Anolis sagrei: one gene and its partner. The protein of the gene in region 1 purifies or fractionates together with the protein of each later gene. This does not show direct contact. Links are inferred from orthologs where the notes say so. Each region holds a gene or a part of one and is shown in the gene's direction. Other genes may lie near its edges.

Region 1 (3,922 bases):
TGGACTGGTTTGATCTTTTCGCGGTCCAAGGCACTCTCAGAATTTTTCTTCAGCACCACAGTTCAAAAGCATCTATCTTCCTTTGCTCAGCTTTCCTTATGGTCCAGCTCTCACATCCATAGGTTACTACAGGGAATACCATTGCATTAACTGTGGATCTTAGTTGCCAATGTGATGTCTCTACTCTTTAATTATTTTATTGAGATTGGTCATTGCTCTCCTCCCAAGAAGTAAATGTCTTCTGTTTTCCTGGCTGCAGTCTGCGTCTGCAGTAATCTTTGCGCCTAAAAATATGAAATCAGTCACGGCCTCCACGTTGTCTCCCTCTATTTGCCAGTTATCAATCATCTTGGTTTTTTTTTTAATGTTTAACTGTAACCCAGCTTTTGCACTTTGTCCTTTCACCTTGGTTAGGAGGCTCCTCAGCTCCTCCTCGCTTTCAGCCATCAAAGTGGTATCATCTGCATATCTAAGGTTAATGTTTCTTCCAGCCATTTTAACTCCAGCCTTGGATTTGTCAAGGCCCACATGTCGCATGATGTGTTCTGCATACAAGTTGAATAGGTTGGGTGAGAGTAACCACACAACTCTGAAGTAGACAATGAAGGCTTTGAGGTGGTCAAAGGCCCCATCCACACTGCCATATAACGCAGTTTGAAAGACTTTCTGCGCGCAAGCATTATTTGATTTGCAATCAAAAATGTGCCAGGATTAGGATAGCTATGACGGTCCCTTCCACACAGCCAGAATATCAGGGCAGATGGCCCACAAGATCTGCTTTGAACTGGGTTATTTGAGTCCACACTGCCAGATAATCCAGTCCAATGTGGATGTCATACAGCTCAGTGGAAGGGGCAGAAGGAGGAGGTGGACAGGATCCTCAAGCGCAAAGGTACAACCCAGCAGGCGACGTGAAGGCACACAACACACCCCCAAGATAGCAGCACACGTTTCAAACGCCAGAAGAGACACATGAGGCACCTGTCGCGTTCTTTCAAACAAACCAAAATGACTGCCGCGGTATTCGGAAGCAACAGAGCTGAGTTTCCCTCTACAAGTTACTTATATCTATGTTTCCGCCTGCCGGCCGGGTCTCCACTTCCGGGCGCTTCAACAAGTTCTTCCGGTCCGCTCCCCCCTCCCGTTTGCGCCTTCTGCTTCCCGGGACGGTCGTTTTCGGGGTGAGACGGAGTCCTCCTCTTTCCCGGCTTTGGCCGGCTTCGCTGCTGCTGCTTCTTCTTCCGAAGGAGAGGCTCCCTCCCTCCCTCCCCTTTCCGCCTCGGTCTCTCTAGGAAGGCCCAGGGCGAAGAAAGGGCGCCTGGACCCGGGTATTTGCCTTCACTTGTGCCCGCCTTCCTTCCTTCCTTCCTTTCTCCCAGGGCAGGACTCAAGGCGGCCTGCAGCACGTTAAAGCCAATTCACCCCGAGTTTGGACTTCTTTCTGAGAGAATATGTGGCCCAGACACTTGTAAATATATACATTGCGTTCATGTGACCCAGGCTTGGGCCAACTTGGGCCCTCCAGGGGTTTTGGACTTCAACTCCCACCATTCCTAACCGCCTCAGGCCCTTTCCTTTTCCCCCTCAGCCGCTTAAGCGAAAGGAAAGGGCCTGAGGCGGTTAGGAATGGTGGGAATTGAAGTCCAAAACCCCTGGAGGGCCCAAGTTGGCTCAGGCCTGATATAATCCTTTTCTGACTGCTTACCTTGAGGAGGAATTAACCATTGCCCATAAGAATACTGAAATTAAGTATTTTTAGTATAGAAATAATGGATTCTCTACCCTCAGAGTTAAAACAGTCAGCAAAAAGGAGGGGTAGATCTTTTTAAAACATAGGCGTGTCTCATTACATGTGGGAAAATTATTTAAAAAATGAAAGTATATCCATACAGCAGAACTAATTTGGTTTCATGCTAATACATAAAGTAGGATATAAATCATCATCTGTTAGAATGGGAGGTATTTGTATAAGTTGGATCCCCCTCCCTCTTCCCCGTTTTTTTCCTTTTCTGTAGGTGTTTAGATTGTGTGTCTTTTTCCCTGTCCTGCTTATAAGCAAGTGAACACACAGAGCTGCCTTAAACTCTGAGAGTTACTATGTAAAATGATTTGAGAGTCTGAAAGATCTTCTTAGTTCTACCTGAACATGGGATCTTTAGTGTGCAAAGCTTGTTCTTTGATATTGAACTATGGGTCATCCTGGAAAGAAAAAAACAAACTTCAAATTATTGTCGAAGGCTTTCATGGCCAGAATCACTGGGTTGTTGTAGGTTTTTTCGGGCTCTATGGCCATGTTCTAGAGGCATTCTCTCCTGACATTTCGCCTGCATCAATGGCAAGCATCCTACCTCAAAGGATGCTTTCCATAGATGCAGGCGAAATGTCAGGAGAGAATGCCTCTAGAACATGGCCATAGAGCCCGAAAAAACCAACAACAATCCAAACTTCAAATTTTTCTCTCTAAATAACTAAAATATACTGGGGCTCTAATCAGTATGTTGTCAAAATTTTCCTAAAGTAAGCAGCACTTTTGTTTTTGAATGTTTAGTTTTTGCATATGTCAACACACCTTGTTTTATTTTATTTATATCCCACATTTCTCCTTATGCAGGACTAAAGGCTACTAGGCTAAATATTTACTTCATCCACCTCAAAATTAAAGGTACTGTATTCCTTATAGCTTAATCCTGTTGTGGCTGTATGAGGAATTGAGAACTCTGCATTGTGGAAGCGTGAGCTCAGATGAATGAAGACACTATTTCTTCTGTAATGAGACCTTCATCCAATTTACATTAGCCTGAAGAAAACTTTATTAGTTGTTCAGGCAATCCAAATACTGTTATTGATGGAATAACTTTACCTGGTGGCTTGGAAATGCAAACAGTTTCAGCCATGCCTCTATTTTGCATCTTATTATGTGATGTCTTGAGCTTCCCATCTGGAGTCATATTGTCAGAAGATTTAATTAAAGCTCTCAAATAAAGTTTTAAGTAGTTGTCTGCATTTGGTGTCCTGCAGTTGTAATATATTAAGTGGTTTGCTGTTAAAGGATAGTGTACATATATTACCTTCGAGCTGACATGAAAATCCTTCTGTAGTTTGATCATGATTTTACACATAAAATCATGCTCAAACTACAGAAGGATTTTCATGTCAGCTCGAAGGTAATATATGAACACTATCCTTTAACAGCAAACCACTTAATATATTACAACTGCAGGACACCAAATGCAGACATCTTTCTCTGGATTCTTGCTTAAGAGCTTTGTGGTGACCACAGATTTCCTCATGAGCAGATGGATTATGGAAACCATAATTTTACTAAATGTAGAATGCTTTTCTCAGTCATACTTCTTTTACATTTCTTTGGTAAAAGCCTTTACCAGGAGTAAGTCCCCTTTACATGTTGTGAAGAATATTTCTTAGGAGACATGTTGCAATCTGAAACATCTTCCAAATCTATGTAGACCGTTAAAGCTATGTTCTACTTGATCTTAATAGCAGTTGTGCACATTTTTGTTGGGAAGTGAACCCATTATGTTTATTATTATTATTAACATTTACAAAACTAAAAAAAAAAACAAAATTACATCAACATATGAGCGAGTGGGATAAAGGGGATGGGGCGGGGGTGAAAGATGTGTGTGTGTAAAAATGGAATAAATAAATAATAATGAAAAAGAAAGGAAAAACCCCCACAACAACAATTGGAGATAGTGCAAACACATAATTTATTTTGACCTCCCATCTCCTTCCTCCTAACTAATGTGAATCTATTAGTCTTGTAGTCCTCCTTGGGTTCCAGCCTTCTCTCTAATTCTTCTACTTAGCACCCATTTTTTTCTTTGAATTTTTTAAAACTTCAGTCCAGTTTGCTTTCTCTTTGTCTCCCTATTGGCGGGTTCTAAGGTGTTGAGGCAGG
Region 2 (3,922 bases), on another chromosome or scaffold:
ATGCGGTTCTCAAGGTATTTATATTTTACGTTCTATTTTATCTTTTTATATTTATTTTTATATTTTATTTTATTTATTTTTATCCTTGTATTATATGTATTGTTTCTATTTATTTTATATTGCATCCTTTGATTATATTTTATTTATATTATTTTATATTATATTTCTATTTTATGTTCTATTTTATCCTTGTATTATATGTATTTATTTTATATTGTATCATTGATTATATTTTTATTTATATTATTTTATATTATATTTCTATTTTATGTTCAATTTTATCCTTGTATTATATTTCATTTATATTATTTTATATTATATTTTTATTTTATGTTCTATTTTATCCTTGTATTATATTTTTATTTATATTATTTATGGTATATTTCTATTTTATGTTCTAATTTATCCTTGTATTATATTTTTATTTATATTATTTATAGTATATTTCTATTTTATGTTCTATTTTATCCTTGTATTATATTTTTATTTATATTATTTATGGTATATTTCTATTTTATGTTCTAATTTATCCTTGTATTATATTTTTATTTATATTATTTATAGTATATTTCTATTTTATGTTCTATTTTATCCTTGTATTATATTTTTATTTATATTATTTATAGTATATTTCTATTTTATGTTCTAATTTATCCTTGTATTATATTTTTATTTATATTATTTATAGTATATTTCTATTTTATGTTCTATTTTATCCTTGTATTATATTTTTATTTATATTATTTATAGTATATTTCTATTTTATGTTCTATTTTATCCTTGTATTATATTTTTATTTATATTATATTTTATATAATGAAACAACCAAAGAGACATGATTGTCTGTCTAGCTGCCATCACCAAAACACTGCTCCACTTCCTTCCTCTCCTTTTGGAATGCCAAGTAAATCTGACTCTTCCTTGGCCCCGCCTCCTTTTGCCTCCGTCTCCACAGCAACGCTTGGCCCCGCCCTCCCCCTCGCGCGCTTGCCCCCCTCTCCTTAGCAACAGCTTGACCCTCCTCGCGTCCCGTAGCAGGCCTGCTTCCGCTTCCGCTGTTCAGAGAAGTTTGAGCATTTCCGGCGGCGGGTTGTGAGTGAGCAGAATGGTAAGTGAGAAGGGTGCCGCGGGCGAAGAGAGCGGATTGTGGGAGTTGTGTTGTGGTGGGCGTCCCTGAGGGAAGCGGGTGCCCTGAGGAGGGCGGAGAGCTGCTCCTTAGGCTCAGTCCTTGGTTCGTCCGTCCCCTTCGCAGTGTTGTGCCTTGTCATCGTCCCTCATCTTTCGTCTAGACCAGGCCTGGGCAAACTTGGGCCCTCGAGGTGTTTTGGACTTCAACTCCCACAATTCCTAACAGCCTCAGGCCCCTTCCTTTCAGTGAAAAGAAGAGGCCTGAGGCTGTTAGGAATTGTGGGAGTTGAAGTCCAAAACCCCTCGAGGGCCCAAGTTTGCCCAGGCCTGATCTATAACTGTAGAATTAATACTGCTGAATCCTGGGAGCTGTAGCTTGATCGATAACAGCCCTCTTTGGCTGAGAAGGCTAAAGACCATGTAAAACTACAACTTCTGTGATTCCATAGCATTCAGCCATGGTAGTTAAAGTAATGCCAAATTGTATTAATTCTACAGTGTAAAGGCAGCCAAAAGTGGAGTGACTCTGTGTAGAACAGACCTTAGCAAACTTAGGCCCTCCTGGTGTTTTGGACTTCAACTCCCACAATTCCTAGCAGCTTACATTTGATGATGCCTCCTGTAGCAAATGGTCTGGATGTCTCTTGGCCAGACTTCCCCACTGTCCCAGAAATGGGCATATTATTAAGGAATCCAAAGGTTTTTTCTTCTTTTTCCTCATGCGGGGTCAGTCAACATCAGTGTGTGCTCAAAAGAACAAATTATATTAATAGGGAAAATCACAAAAGGCAAGTGAATCGACAGCAGTTACTTTTTGTGAGTCTGCAAAGGCATAGTGGGACTGATAGCCTCATGACACCAGAGTAGGCATGGGCAAACGGGCAAAAATATGATAGCTGGGACCCTACACTGGTTGCACAATGCATGTCAGAATTAATGAAGGGAAGTCCGCTTGAACTTTTCTCAGCTGCTAGAGCTGCTTTCCTCAAAGGGCGGAAAGTGTGCTGGTAGCCAGGGAAGGTTTTTACAAGGGCCAAGTGCAAACAGAGCAGCAGGAACCAGAGTCCTCTTCCCCTCTTCTTGTGCTTTCCCCTGCCAGCTTTTTGACAGTGGAGGAGTGGGGACTCCAGGAGGCAGGATGTGTAAGCCATAGACCCCCCTCCCCCCTCCCCCTCCCCCTCTCCCTCTCCCCCTCTCCCTCTCCCTTCCTTCCTTCCTCCCAGCTGCATCTCTCACTCACTGCACTGTCTCATACATATCTTCCCTTCATGAATTCTGACCCACAGTGTGCAACCAGCGTAGGGTCCCAGCTATCATATTTTTGCTGGCAAACTTTGACTCTCCAGGTATTTTGGACATCAACTCCCACCGGCTGTTAGGAACTGTGGGAGTTAAAGTCAAAAACACCTGCAGTTTCCCCTTTTTGTGAGGAGTACAGCTGAAGCATTTTCTGCAGAGGCCACTATCAACAGTGCACATTGTTACTAACAGATTTGTGTAAATGGGTGGTTCAGAAACCTTTTGCTGTTGACACATTTTTCGTGACCCCAATTTTGAGTTAAGGGGACCCTGTTTGGGGCCGGGACCCAGTGTAGTATCCACCTTGTATCTACAATAAGGGGAAAGGACATTAGCAGGCATTACCAGCTACCTTGATATATTGCAAAAAAATAAAATACTTGCCACTGAAATGAAAATTATAATGAAAGGAGATTGTTGAAAGAAAACAATCTTCTCTGGGTACATTTTGGAAAGAACTATCGAGTGGTCTCCAGAGAATTCAAAATGTCTTTGTTTGTTTTCAGTTTACCTGTGCATAATTTAAGTTTTGAATAAAAAAAGTTTGCTTGAAACTTGTTGAACAGCTGTTCTTTTCTTTGTAGTGAGAAACCTAGCTCTATTTTTTTCCAGGACATTTTTTTTCCATTGGTACCAAAGTTTCTGTTTGAGAGGTAAAGCCCAGGAATACATCCACTTTGTTAATTGACATATACCTGTATAGATGTTATTTCAACTGCACTAAGGGAAACAATTGTTTTTCAGCTGTATATTATATTCTGCTTGTTTTTTTTTCCCATTAGGGTCAAAGTCAGAGTGGTGGACATGGCCCTGGGGGTAGCAAGAAGGATGACAAAGTAAGAATAAAGAAATAAGGGATTTTGTGTGGATGAGGTGTATAATGGACTTTCTTGAAATAAGTGCAGCATTAAATGTTCTTCTAGAAAAAATATTCCATGCAAATTGAAAAATTCAAATTGCACTTTCTCAGACATACTTTCACTTTCTACATAAGAAACTTTGTATCTCATTTATATGTTATTTCTGTCTCAGACTGGCAATGCAGTAGTCTAGTTTTCTAAGTCTTCTAAGTATTGTATTAGTTGCTTTTAGGTAATGTGTCACTTTGGACATTATTGTAAACTCTGATTTGTAACCAGGAATTACCCACATCTCTTTCTCATTTAACATGACTTTAAGGAAGAGATCAGATGGGGTTTTTCAATAAATGTATCTTGCCCTTTAATATGGCCATAACAAATTGTGACTGCTCCACTTGAAGTCCTTTCTGTACTGTTACCTCTTCCTTAAAAAACTGTAATTCATCATGAAATCCCTCTCAACAGATCTAAAACATCTGTTGCTTAATTTTGTGATGGTTGTTGGAGCCAGTTATTATTTGGACCATGTGAATGTTTTTTATCGAATTAGGAAGTTTTTGTGAAATAGAAGCACAGATTACTTCCCCAGATTCGCTAATCTTCATTATAAAGTAGGATGAGACAGCAGCTTGGAG

The links.
Region 2: the proteins of UBLCP1 (region 1) and PSMC1 purify together in Homo sapiens (affinity purification with mass spectrometry; 3 studies listed by BioGRID and IntAct, with this or other methods). This does not show direct contact. The link is inferred for Anolis sagrei from reciprocal best matches to the Homo sapiens genes UBLCP1 and PSMC1.

What each region holds. Positions count from the first base shown.
Region 1 is NC_090022.1:79,049,899-79,053,820, reverse strand, and holds the start of UBLCP1 (ubiquitin-like domain-containing CTD phosphatase 1), read left to right. Parts: upstream 1-1,079; 5' UTR 1,080-1,181; intron 1,182-1,198; exon of another isoform or gene 1,199-1,328; intron 1,329-2,611; 5' UTR 2,612-2,662; intron 2,663-3,922. UniProt on the Homo sapiens protein: Dephosphorylates 26S nuclear proteasomes, thereby decreasing their proteolytic activity. Recruited to the 19S regulatory particle of the 26S proteasome through its interaction with 19S component PSMD2/RPN1.
Region 2 is NC_090021.1:314,839,612-314,843,533, forward strand, and holds the start of PSMC1 (26S proteasome regulatory subunit 4), read left to right. Parts: upstream 1-1,002; 5' UTR 1,003-1,105; coding exon 1,106-1,108; intron 1,109-3,209; coding exon 3,210-3,263; intron 3,264-3,922.